Mus musculus: one gene and its partners. The protein of the gene in region 2 purifies or fractionates together with the protein of the main gene of each other region. This does not show direct contact. Links are inferred from orthologs where the notes say so. Each region holds a gene or a part of one and is shown on either strand. Other genes may lie near its edges.

Region 1 (4,071 bases), on a different chromosome or scaffold from region 2:
TGATCCAGGTGACCAGTCCTTGAATTATTCCCCCCACCAATTATTCTTCACCTTGCTTTTCCATATTTGCAAGTCTAATGTCCCCCAATGCTGCAACCTTCACGTATCCATACCAGTACCCATTTGGAGAGAATAATTCCTTTAATATCAACAACGATACTATTAACAGCACAGGGAGGAGGCAGTGGAGAAACAGTTGGGCTTTCTTTCTCTACCCAGCCTAGACCTGAACAACCGAACCCCAACAGCTTACGAGCCACTCAGTGAAGAGGAAGGGAGGGGCTGGAAACCAAGGCTTGACACTTAAATAGAGCATGGCAAACCAGGAGAGGCCTGGTGATGAGGAGGGCTGAGGGCTGAGCAGCCCTAGCGCAGGTCTTCAGCGGTGAACATGCCCTTGGCCCTGCGCAGGATGGAGTCTTTGGCTGCATCGTAGGGATGCTCCTTGGACGGGATCTCCAGGACAGCTGGAATGGACCTCTGGTGGGCATCCAGGGCGTGCCGAACCATCTCTGCGATGTACTGGTTGATGAGAATGATGCCAATGTCATCCCTGTTTAGAAATTGCCTGTTGGGGGAGAAGAAGAGGAATTGACAGTGGCCGGAGGTATAAGGCCTTCAGCCTTCTCTTTTCTTGGATGAAGCAACTACACATAGGAGCTCAGAACCACACAGCTCAGGGTTGGAGTCCACACATCAGCTCGTGGAGGGAACTGGTAATGAAGACCAGGGTGCAAGTCAGTGTGTTCTTTAAGCTGCCCCTGTGGAGGAGAGGCAGAGGAGAGAGAAATAGGAGCCCCTCTGTGTCTGCATGAAAGTCTAGAAACACAAGAGCCTTATTAACAAAACAAACCACCACCCACCACCACAAAAAAAAAAATGGAGGAGGAGGAGGAAGAGGAAGAAGAGGAGGAGGAGGAAGAGAAGAGAAGAGAAGAGAAGAGAAGAGAAGAGAAGAGAAGAGAAGAAAGAAAAAGACTAAATGGTAGTGGAGTTCAAGGCCAGCTTGGTCTGCAGAGCTAATTCCAGGACAGTCAGGGAGGGCTACACAAACCCTGTCTTGTAAAACAAAACAAAATTTTCTTATTGATAGAGGTTGAAAGGGTGGGGGTGGCAGGGTGATTCCTTACTGTATACCTTTTGCTTTTTAGTAAATTTTTGAGATAGGGTAAATGAGACCACTGGATGCCTCACATCTATACTGATTAGGGCAGGGGGTGGGCCAGGAGGACATCTGCTGTAAGCCAAAGGCAAGATGGAAAGAGGAAACTCAGCAATGAAGGAATCACCATTTCCAGACAGATACTGTCATTCTGGCCTTCCTCGCATGTGATCACCTCCACACACAGACATGCACACCCATTCAGCTAAGTATTTACTCATTAAAAGTCATTCACTGGGCACCTACTTTGTGTCGAGCATGGAGTAGATTTGGCTTGGTGATTTTAGGACCCCTTCCTGTTGGAAACATGGTAAATCCTTGGAAGTAAGATCTGTCCTCCAGTGGCAATGGAGGTCACTTTACTGGTTTGCTAAGAGATCAGTCTCCCAGGTCAGAGCCTGCCACGCTCCAGGCTGTGGGAACTAGTCTCAGCCAGCATCCCTGGACTGGGCTATTTAGGGGAAACAGGTGAGGGCAGTTTATTCCTGAGATTTGGCATAGTAATTCTAGAAAAGGAATGAGGAAAAAAAATAGAGAGTTGGCACCCTCAATTCTAGTCAACAGTGCACTTTCTGGCTTAAAAGGAATGCCTGCACCCAGTTTTAAAAACTACGACCCAGGGTATGATGTGAAGATCTGAAGTACAAAGTCTTTGGGGAAGGCCATACTTCCCAGATGTTTTGCTTATTGTGCGCAAGACAAATGGAAGCCCCATGGCAGACTGCAGGGAGCTGAATAAACAGAGTGGGTAGTAACTTAGAAGACACAGGTAAAGCTGCTTGTTATCCAAGCCCTGTTACTTGAGTTCAATCCTCAAAGCCCATGGAAAGAAAACTGACTCCACAAGTTGTCTTCTGACCTCCATGTGTGCACACCTACCCACGGACACACACAAACGCCGTAATTAAAAAGAAAGAGTTGACCTGGGTTCTGCCTCCTATGGCTAATGTGCCTGTGCCCTAACCAATTGTCCTTTATTTTTCTCACTAGTAACTGGGAATAACCAGTACCTTACAGGACAATTGTAAGCCTCTAAGATAAATGAAGCGTATACACACACACACACACACACACACACACACACACACGCGCCCACTGTCCGGACCTACGCTGGAGGTGGTTAGTTTTCTTAGTCGAAAAGACTAAGGTTCAGAGAATACGCTACAGAGACCCCGGAAGAGGGCTGAACAAGCCGGTCAGCACTGGCAAGAGGCTCCAGGCGTCCAATTACAGCTGGTGCAGACCATAAGCTCCACTCCCCTCCTAAACTGACACACAATCATGTGATGGGGAAAGTTCGTGGACCTGCGGTAGGCCGGACCCCACTGAGCCCCAAAAGGGAACTTAGATGGCGGAGGCCCCTGCTCAGGGTGGACAGACGACTTCCGGGACCATCCCGGTCCCCATCACCACGTGACACCCAGGTTATCAGGCCACCAATTCTCCCCGTGCTTGTAGCAAGCGGAAGGACCCATTTAGGCCTAACAGGCTACCGTACCTGAAAGTGTCTTCGATCTCATTGATGGTGGTATCCTTCTCCACTACCAGGAAATTAGGGTGGCGGTTCTTGTTTAGCTCCCCTATGCCGCCCAACAGGAAACCAGTCACCGTGTCCTCGTCTCCAATCACCGCGATTAGCTTACCTCTGCCCGCCATCCTGTCCGCCGGGCAGAGCGCTTCCCAAACACCTGTGATGCCCCGCCCCCGCAGAGACCCCGCCCTTCAGTCATGCGCAGTTCCCCGCCTCCCGGGCATGCGCATTTAGCAGGAACTCCGCTTAATCTGCGTACTCTTGCGCCATAGAGGCCAGAAACACAAACCACAGAACTACGTCTCCCAGAAGGCTGAGCGTCACAGGCCTCTCTCTGGCATTCTGTCCTTAATTTCTTCTCTCTTGGAAGAAATGCCTTTTGAACCTAGTGTTATTAGAGACCGAGACTTTAGGGGACATACTTTTTTTTTCTTTCTTTTCAGTGTACGTTAGTTTGGTTTTGGCTTTTTTGAGACAGATGGTTACCTATCTCAGGCCGGACTTGAACTTGCAGTGTAGAAGAGGATAGATCCTATTGCTTCTACTTTCCGAATGCTGGTATTATAGGCCTGCGCCATTACACAAAACAGAACAGTGTGTGCTTGATTTGTTTGACTTAAAAAAAAAAAACATCTTTTTGTTGTTACATTTGTGATTTCGGAGGCAGGTGTAGTGTGGCAGTGGAGCAGGCCACAAGTTTGTGAGGTCATAATACACCCTATGAGAGTCACCTTGAGGTTCATCTGGTCAACCCAGTGCTTTTTTTTTTTTAAAGATAGGTCTCAGGGCTGGAAGATGGCTAGGTGGTTAAGAGCACTGACTGCTCTACTAGAGGTCCTGAGGTCAATTCCCAGCAACCACATGGTGGCTCACAACCATCTGAAGACAGTGTCAGTGTACCCACATATATGAAATAAATAAATCTTATAAAAAGATTTATCCAAATATTAGGATTAGGCCAAACTACCTACCCCCTTTTTTTGGTTTTATTTGGTAGTTTGTTTTTTGAAACCTGCTATATGTAGCCTTTTCTGGCCTGGAACTCAGAATGTAGACTAGGTTGGCCTTGAACTTGCAGCCAGTGGTCCTACTGCATCATCCTCCTGAATGCTGGGACTACAGAAATGCACCACTATTTCCTGTCCATTTGTTTGTTTCAACTCTTGCCTCAGTCTGGGATTACAGACATAGGCTACCATAACTGTCCAAGAACAGGTATTTCCTAGCTGGAAGGTCAAGGTCTGAATCGGTATGATGTACACATGCATGCTAACTATGACATGGCTAACAATTACTGAATATATATTAAATTACCAAAGAAATAGGCAAATGAATGATGACACTATGTAGTGCTGTAGAAACCAAGCAAGGCCTCATG
Region 2 (3,561 bases):
AGGAAATGGTGATCAGAAGGGCTCTAGTATGTCTAATGGAAGAAAAGGTTGCAGATAAAATTCTCAAGTCTTTCAAAATAAAAAACAAATTCAGAGACTGACACGGTTCATGTCTGAGAAAGACGTATCTAAGCTATCAACAATGCCAAATATCCTAAGAAAGCTATGAGACTTAAATTTAAAGAGAAATTCTCCGGACCAAGAAAAGTTACTTCTACAAGGGGGAAAATCATTCTCAGATTTGTGCTCCCAATGTTGCCTGCTTGAATAAGTGTTCTCAGGAAAATATCACTGATCCAAGAAATTTGTTCTCAGCCAAACCACTCTTGCGGTTTGGGTAGGCATTCCTTCTGCTTCAAAAATGAAAAAAGTAAGTATTACTATATTACCCCAGTAGATCATAAATCATGAAGTCTATGAAAGTCAACACATGTTAGTAAAAACTACCAGGCTACAAAAACTACCAATAATTTTAGTTCAGAAACACAACTGTTAAAGGCAAAGGGGGAAAAAAAACTTGGAAACTTATGAAGAAAGCAAGAGTTCAAGGAAAATGAAGATTTTGTGAGTCTTTCTTGCAGAAACTTCCAAAGGACATAGAATAAAACCAGAAATCAAGAAGCTAGCCACAGGGAACACTGGCTCCATTTAGGGAAGGCCAAAGTCTAAATAATACTGGCTCTCTATTTCTAGAATAAAGTAGAGAGTTAATAATTCCTAAAAAAGGCAAAACGAAGGTCCTAAGCACTGAGGCTGAGGGAGCAAAGATGAAAAGTGTGCAACACAGCACATTTCTTATCTTTTATAGCCCCTAAAAATAGTACGTCATAGGCACATAACTATACTTACATATAGTACAATGTTAAAATACAGGTAAATGATACAATTAAGAAGATAAATACATTGTTTTATGAGCATTAAGAGACCTGGAGGCCCATCTAGTGATTGCCATATGCAGGGATACATCCCATAATCAGCTTCCAAATGCTGACACCATTGCATACACTAGCAAGATTTCACTGAAAGGACCCAGATATAGCTCTCTCTTGTGAGACTATGCCGGGGCCTAGCAAACACAGAAGTGGATGATCACAGTCAGCTATTGGATGGGTCACACGGCCCCTAATGGAGGAGCTAGAGAAATTACCCAAGGAGCTAAAGGGAACTGCAACCCTATAGGTGGAACAACAATATGAACTAACCAGTACCCGGGAGCTCTTGTCTTTAGCTGCATATGTATCAAAAGATGGCCTAGTCGGCCATCACTGCAAAGAGAGGCCCATTGGACTTGCAAACTTTATATGCCCCAGTACAGGGGAACGCCAGGGCCAAAAAGGGGGAGTGGGTGGGTAGGGGATTGGGGGGGGGGGTGGGTATGGGGGACCTTTGGGATAGCATTGAAAATGTAAACGAGGAAAATACCTAATTAAAAAAAAAAAAAAAAAGAAAGCCCTGAAAATGCTTACCCATGTGAAAAAAAAAAAAAAAAAAAAAAGAGACCTGGAGGCAGCTGGGCGTGGTGGCGCACTCCTTTAATCCCAGCACTTGGGAGGCAGAGGCAGGCGGATTTCTGAGTTCAAGAGCAGCCTGGTCTACAGAGTGAGTTCCAGGACAGCCAGGGCTACACAGAGAAACCCTGTTTTGAAAAAACCAAGAAGAGAGAGAGAAAGACAGACAGACAGACAGACAGACAGAGAGAGAGAGAAAGAGAGAGAGCGAGCTGGAAGCTTGGGTGCAGCTCAGGAGTGCTTACCTCGAATGTGCTCAACCACAGCAGCAGAGGCAGGGTGGGTGTACAGGGGAGGTGAGGGAGAGGAGCAGTGAAGAGACAACACCACCCTTTGGGGCAGCTCAACACACATCTTACGTTTGGGTCTGGAGATGGCTCAGAGGTTAGGAGCTTCTGCAGCTCTGTCCACAGAACCAAGCTGGATAGATAGCTCATAACTGCCTGTAATTCCAGCTCCAGGACTTGACATCCTCTCTGTTCTCTAAGGGCACAGACATGTGACATAATATACTCCACACAGCCTCTTGCCCATACAATCTTTTAAAAAATGTTGTTGACTTGTTCTCATGATACATATAATAAATCAGATAGTTCTTAAAAGCCAGGAAAGTGATTGCATAGGGTTTTTTTAGAGATGACGTTCTTGGGAAAGAAAAGCTGGGTGCTGGTGTTAAACTCTTCTCTCCCAGCCCCAGACTCACCAGTGTAGATGGAGGCCTCTCTCGCAGCCACAGGCATGTTGGAGGTGTTGGCTACCAGCGCTGTCCTCTTCATGATGGACTCTACTTTCCCATCAACCTCCATGGTGAGCTACGGGTGGGAAATCCGTTAGTGCGTGAGCTCCAGTCTCAGTGTAACTCTAACATTTTACATTTCCCCCCACTTACAAAGACTACAACTTGTTTCTGTTTAATCCTTTCGTCACAATTCCCTAGGACTATCCCCATCATGCCAACCTCCCTGCCCTGTCCCACAGCACTGTCTGACAAACAGGCAATCTCATTTGGACATTTCAAATGGACAAAGGAAATCCATTATTTCATGAAAAAGGACATGTTACTACAGTAACCTAGATCACAGAGCCCACGAAAAGCTTCACATTTAAACGGTCAGTTTCTTAGGGTTTGTTTTTTAGACAGTGTCTCACATGGTCCAGGCTAGCCCTGAACTGACCCTTCTGGCTCAGCCTCCCAAGTACAGGAATTACAGGCCACCATACCCAGTTAAAATATAAATGTTTTTTCTTTTATCCATCTTACTTTTCTCTTAAGTGAGAACAAAGAAGAGAAAATTCTAGGTGTCTGACTTTGAAAAATTCATTTTTCCTTTTTAAAAATATACGGATTAATGAAAAATATTAATTTAAAATTCTTTGAGAGCATCTTGACAACTGAATGCAGCACTCTTTGCCATGGAGCATAAACTGTTGTCAGCGATGCTGACATGCTGCGTCTCCTCTAGACGATTATTTGGAGTTCTCTAGAGACGGACCTCAGGGAAGTCGCGGAGAACTTCTGACATCTCGTTGCCTCTCTCACCGCAGCCGACATAGATGATGACGTCACTGTTGGAGTACTTGGATAGAGACTGGGAAATCACAGTCTTTCCACAGCCAAAGGCGCCTGGGATAGCAGTAGTTCCTCCCTGAACACACCTGAAGGACAACAAACAAAAATTAAAAGAAATGTTTATTATGCTGCTAGCTTGCTAATGTATACTGCTAAACAAAGTAGGCAACTGATGTAAAAATACTCTGAAACATTTCTATACACATAGAATATATTAACATAATTATTAGCAGCTCATTTGTGCCTAATAGCATATGTCTTAAGGTGGCTATAAGCCAGGTGTGGTGCTGCACGCCTTTTATCCCAGCACTCATGAGGCAGAGGCAGGTGGATCTCTGTGAGTCTGAGGCCAGCCTGGTCTACATGGTGAGTTCCAGCACTACATAGAGAAAGTATGTCTTAAAAAAAAAAGAAAAGATGGATGTGGCAGTTCTTGCCTATAGTCCCAGCATTCGGGAGGCTGAGGCAGTAGGGTTACCGATG
Region 3 (4,239 bases), on a different chromosome or scaffold from region 2:
CATTTAAAAATCTAAGAATAATATAATATAGCTTAAAACCAAAAACAGTTGTTTTAAAAGTCCCGTCTCTTGGCTTATAAATTGGGGTGTGCAACACTGGGGTACAGCCTTTGCCTGTCATGTTCAAACCCTGAGGTGAGTCTCTAGCACCAGAAAAAATTAAAAGCTAACCAAACAAACAAAAAAAAAAAACCCAAAATCAAACTTTTGATTTGCATAGGCATAGAGAAAGAAAAATAAGAAGAAATAGAGTATATAGAAAATACTAGGTTTGGTTGTAAAAATATAGAAAAGATCAAAGATGGAATATGTGACAAACTATTTCAGCATACCAGCTATTGGACACAGAGACCATTCTATTAATCCCTTCTAGAAATGGCACAACAAAGGCAACACCATTTGAGCTTTGTTTCTTTTTCTATTTTTTCCTTTCCTTAATGCTCCACATGTAGCTAGAAAACCTGGTTTTAGGCACAAGCTTCGCTTGGACTGACACAGGCTCCCATGGAACGTTATGCAGACGGTTCTGAGTTGCACACCCGCCCTCTAACTCTCCGTGCAGTGTATACTTTAAGAGCAGTTATGGTTCTCCTTCCTCTAGCTCAAGACAACTGTCTACACCACAGCTCCATCACTGAATGGCCATGAGGTACCTGACTGCTCACAAATGTTAAAAATATTATGGGGGAAATAGAAATATGGAGTACTGAGTCAAAGGCCAACTTTTAGAGGTTGGCTCTCTCCTTCAATTGCATGTCCAGGGAGCTAGAGCCAGACTCAGGATGGCAAGAGTGAACCTCTCGAGCCTTTAGGGCTAATTTACTTTAATGAACTCCACTCTGAGAAGCTACTGCACCATGTCCCGACTCATCCTCTGGAGGCTGGTACAGAAACCTGCCCTACCCACCATGCTGATGGAGAAGCAAGTGGACTGTGAGAAAGTATCAGCATCTTCTTTGATCATACAGTGTTATTTGAAGACTTCAAGTCGGTAGAGGAAGGAGTTAGACTTGATGCCTATGAACGAATCAGCAGTCTGGAAGGAATGCTGGGAGTGTGTGATGCTACATAGTGTAGAGTTAAGGAAAACACCCAACTAGCTAACTAGTGAACACCTAACCAGCTAATACCTAGCTAACTCTCAAGAAAACATTGGAAGCGTATCAAATTCTGACAGTGGCCTCACTACACTTGACAAAAGAATAGTCTTTTCACACATTGTATACACAAACACGGGAGACAGCTGATGTTTGCTGAGGACCACTGGATGCCAACAAAGACCCTTCACATCTTATCACCTAAGAAGTGCCAACTGGTGCAGGGCAGGCACTCCACAAATATCTACTGGCTGAAGGAGACACAACTGAGAATGCAACTGTTATTGACCTCCATATAAGTAACTCAAGCTGACTTCCAAGGTTAATCTAACAACATCTGAACGAACACACACACACACACACACACACACACACACACACATTCTCTGGAACTCCTTTTGCAGACTAGGCTGGCCCAGAACTCAGACACCCACCTGCCTCTGCATCCTGAGTTGCTGAGATCAAAGGTGTGCACCACCAACATTCTTCCAATACATAGTTCATATCTATCGTATTTAATTGCCTCACTACTTTGGAGTCTTAGCATATTGCTACAAATTCTTTGCTTAATGAAAGAACTATTTCAACTAGTTCTTGGCAGTTCTCTAACCTAGGTTACAAAACCCTAGTTCAGTGCTGGAGCGCCTTAATAATCCTCTGTACCATAAAAACAAGGAACCACTAAAACACTGTCCACAGTTAACAATCTCCTTAGCACCAGTTCTTCTAGCAGTCTAGCTTCAAAGTAGTTCATGTTATTATACAACGTCACCCATAAGTCACGTTTTACCTGACCTTCCCTGGGCATTCTAATATACAACTATTTTATTTTGCACAGAGGATTAGTATTTAAAGTCGCCCAACCTTATGGTATCCCTTTATCAAATGGAGGCTAACAAATGTAACTGTATTAAGGCCTCCTCCTCCTACCGAGGGACCTTGGGACAGTTTTATGACCTTGCAGAGATTGTACTTCAACACGAGGGCATGATGACAATGGCAATGTCTTTCTCTTCCTCATCGGCAGATTTTTTTAAACCCCTTTAGCACCAAGGCGACCAGCAGGTTCAGGCGGGGGCTGATTTTGAGTTCCTTCGTTTCTCCAGTACCCAGCAAAGAGTCGGATGGCTACACAGTGAATGCCTTACCAAAGAGCTCAAGCAAGCCATCACACCTTAAAGGGTCACGCTGCTCCCCCGTGCAGTGTTTCACAGGGCTTCAAAGCCAAAAGTTACAACCAAACGTTCCCCGGTCGCCCCTTCACCTTCAGGGCCTTTCTAAAGACTTTGCAAGCTGTGCTCCCGGGTACGGAGCGGAAGTACGGAGTTGATCGAAACCCAGATGGCTCCAAAGCTCAACCCGAATCCCGTCCGGGTCCCGAGGTCCCGGATGGCCGTTCCAGTCTCAGGGGATCAGACCGTGACCTTGTTCTCTTTGACCCCTACCAGGGGTCCGGCACGCAACCTTCCAGCTCTGCAGACATCCCCGCGGCCTGAGCTGGGGCCTTCTTCCGCCAGGAGTGAGCATGCAGCTCCATCCCTCCTGCCTCGCAGCAAGCCCGAGCCCCCGCATCCCTCCCGATGTGGTCCTACCATTGCGGCTGCACGGCGCAGGCCGACAGCCCGACAACGCTCGCCCGCGAGAACATGGTGGAGCCTTGAAGGTCGGGCAGACGGGACTCAGTGCGCGTGCGCGGGAGCTCAGGCGCCCCGGCCCGCTCCGCCTGCGTCCTCGGTCTCGCTAAATCTCGTGAGCGCCGAAGCCGCGAGTTCCCTGGCCCCACCCATTTCCTGCTGTCAATTTCGGTCCCGCCTGTCCCCGCGCTGAGCCAGTTCCGCTTCCGACCGCTTTGTAGTTGTAGCGCTCAGGGTCGCCATGGGCAAGTCGGATTTTCTGAGCCCCAAGGCCATCGCCAATAGAATTAAGTCCAAAGGGCTCCAGAAGCTTCGCTGGTACTGCCAGATGTGCCAAAAGCAATGCCGCGACGAGGTAAGTGACTCAGGCTGGCCGCGACCCCTCCCTCGGCTTGGAGCCCTCTCCGGCGCAGTCTTCCCCAGCTCGGCGCGAAGCCCTCCAGCTCCACGAGAAGTGGTCGCAGACAAGCACTCACTGATCGCTTACAATCGCTAGGCTGAGCACTGAGGTTTTACATTTAGACTTCCCTGGTGGGGTCGGTCGGTCAAGACGAGGAACTCAAGTTGCTCCGCTTAATAGTGACATGGGCTTGGCCACTACTGGTAAAGTAGAGGTAATAGTTGTACCCACCGGCAAGATTGTCGCCGAGTTTTTTCATGGAGAGAAGAACTCTCCATGACATAAATGCTTCATTCCCGACTTGCTACTGCTATCCTATAGTTTCAGTATGTGGGTTCCCAAAGGTACAGGCGTGCAGTCCATCGCACCTAGGAGTGACCGCTAAGTGTTTTTCCATATTTGCTTACATCATATAGTAAATTATATAAATATATGAATATCAGTATACCTTCACCCTTGAAGACTTAATTGTGTAATCAACATAACAAGTAATCGTATTATCTTTTCAATTAATGCCAAAATGCCACCAATATAACAGAACTAATAAAAATTCTTGTACATTATCTGATACATATTTTTGTTTTAGAGACAGTATCTCAGTATGTAACTTTGGCTGGTCTGGACCTCACCAGGCTGGCCAAAAAACGAGATAGACCTGCCTCTGCTTCCCAAGTGCTGGTTGATATCAGAGATATACACCACCCTACTTTATATTAATACTTTCTTGGTAGTCTTGTGGTGGCGATGGGGACCAGAGAGGTTGTTTATTAAGCAGTGCTACAAGTTTTGTTTAATGTCTTATGTATGCCTGGCAAATGCTCTACCACTGAGCCCTCATGCACTGCGTCATATTTCTGTTATCTTATTTTGGTGTATGTGTTTATGCATGTGTGCATGCTGCACCAAACAGATACATCCATACGGAGATCAAAGGGCCACATGTAAATGGTTATTTCCTTCCAGCTTGAGGGTCCTGGGATTGAAGTCATGTTGTCACATCTGGCACCAAGCGCCTTTAGCCACTGAGCCATCTTACTGACCTTATGCCACCTTCTTAGTAAGTCATCACAGACTGAACCCAGTCCCACTGCCACTGACTGGATTGCAA

What was found. The genes of interacting proteins can lie anywhere in the genome.
Region 1: the proteins of Atp6v1a (region 2) and Atp6v1f fractionate together in Homo sapiens (co-fractionation; 3 studies listed by BioGRID and IntAct, with this or other methods). This does not show direct contact. The link is inferred for Mus musculus from reciprocal best matches to the Homo sapiens genes ATP6V1A and ATP6V1F.
Region 3: the proteins of Atp6v1a (region 2) and Atp5c1 fractionate together in Homo sapiens (co-fractionation; 3 studies listed by BioGRID). This does not show direct contact. The link is inferred for Mus musculus from reciprocal best matches to the Homo sapiens genes ATP6V1A and ATP5F1C.

Annotation. Positions count from the first base shown.
Region 1 is NC_000072.6:29,466,564-29,470,634, reverse strand, and holds Atp6v1f (V-type proton ATPase subunit F), read right to left. Parts: upstream 2,853-4,071; 5' UTR 2,819-2,852; coding exon 2,661-2,818; intron 569-2,660; coding exon 367-568; 3' UTR 126-366; downstream 1-125. UniProt on the Homo sapiens protein: Subunit of the V1 complex of vacuolar(H+)-ATPase (V-ATPase), a multisubunit enzyme composed of a peripheral complex (V1) that hydrolyzes ATP and a membrane integral complex (V0) that translocates protons.
Region 2 is NC_000082.6:44,104,724-44,108,284, forward strand, and holds part of Atp6v1a (V-type proton ATPase catalytic subunit A), read right to left. Parts: intron 3,165-3,561; coding exon 3,002-3,164; intron 2,321-3,001; coding exon 2,212-2,320; intron 1-2,211. UniProt on the Homo sapiens protein: Catalytic subunit of the V1 complex of vacuolar(H+)-ATPase (V-ATPase), a multisubunit enzyme composed of a peripheral complex (V1) that hydrolyzes ATP and a membrane integral complex (V0) that translocates protons.
Region 3 is NC_000068.7:10,077,659-10,081,897, forward strand, and holds the start of Atp5c1 (ATP synthase subunit gamma, mitochondrial), read right to left. Parts: upstream 2,853-4,239; 5' UTR 2,746-2,852; coding exon 2,690-2,745; exon of another isoform or gene 2,055-2,689; intron 1-2,054. Other genes in the region: Kin (DNA/RNA-binding protein KIN17), read left to right, coding at 2,973-3,086.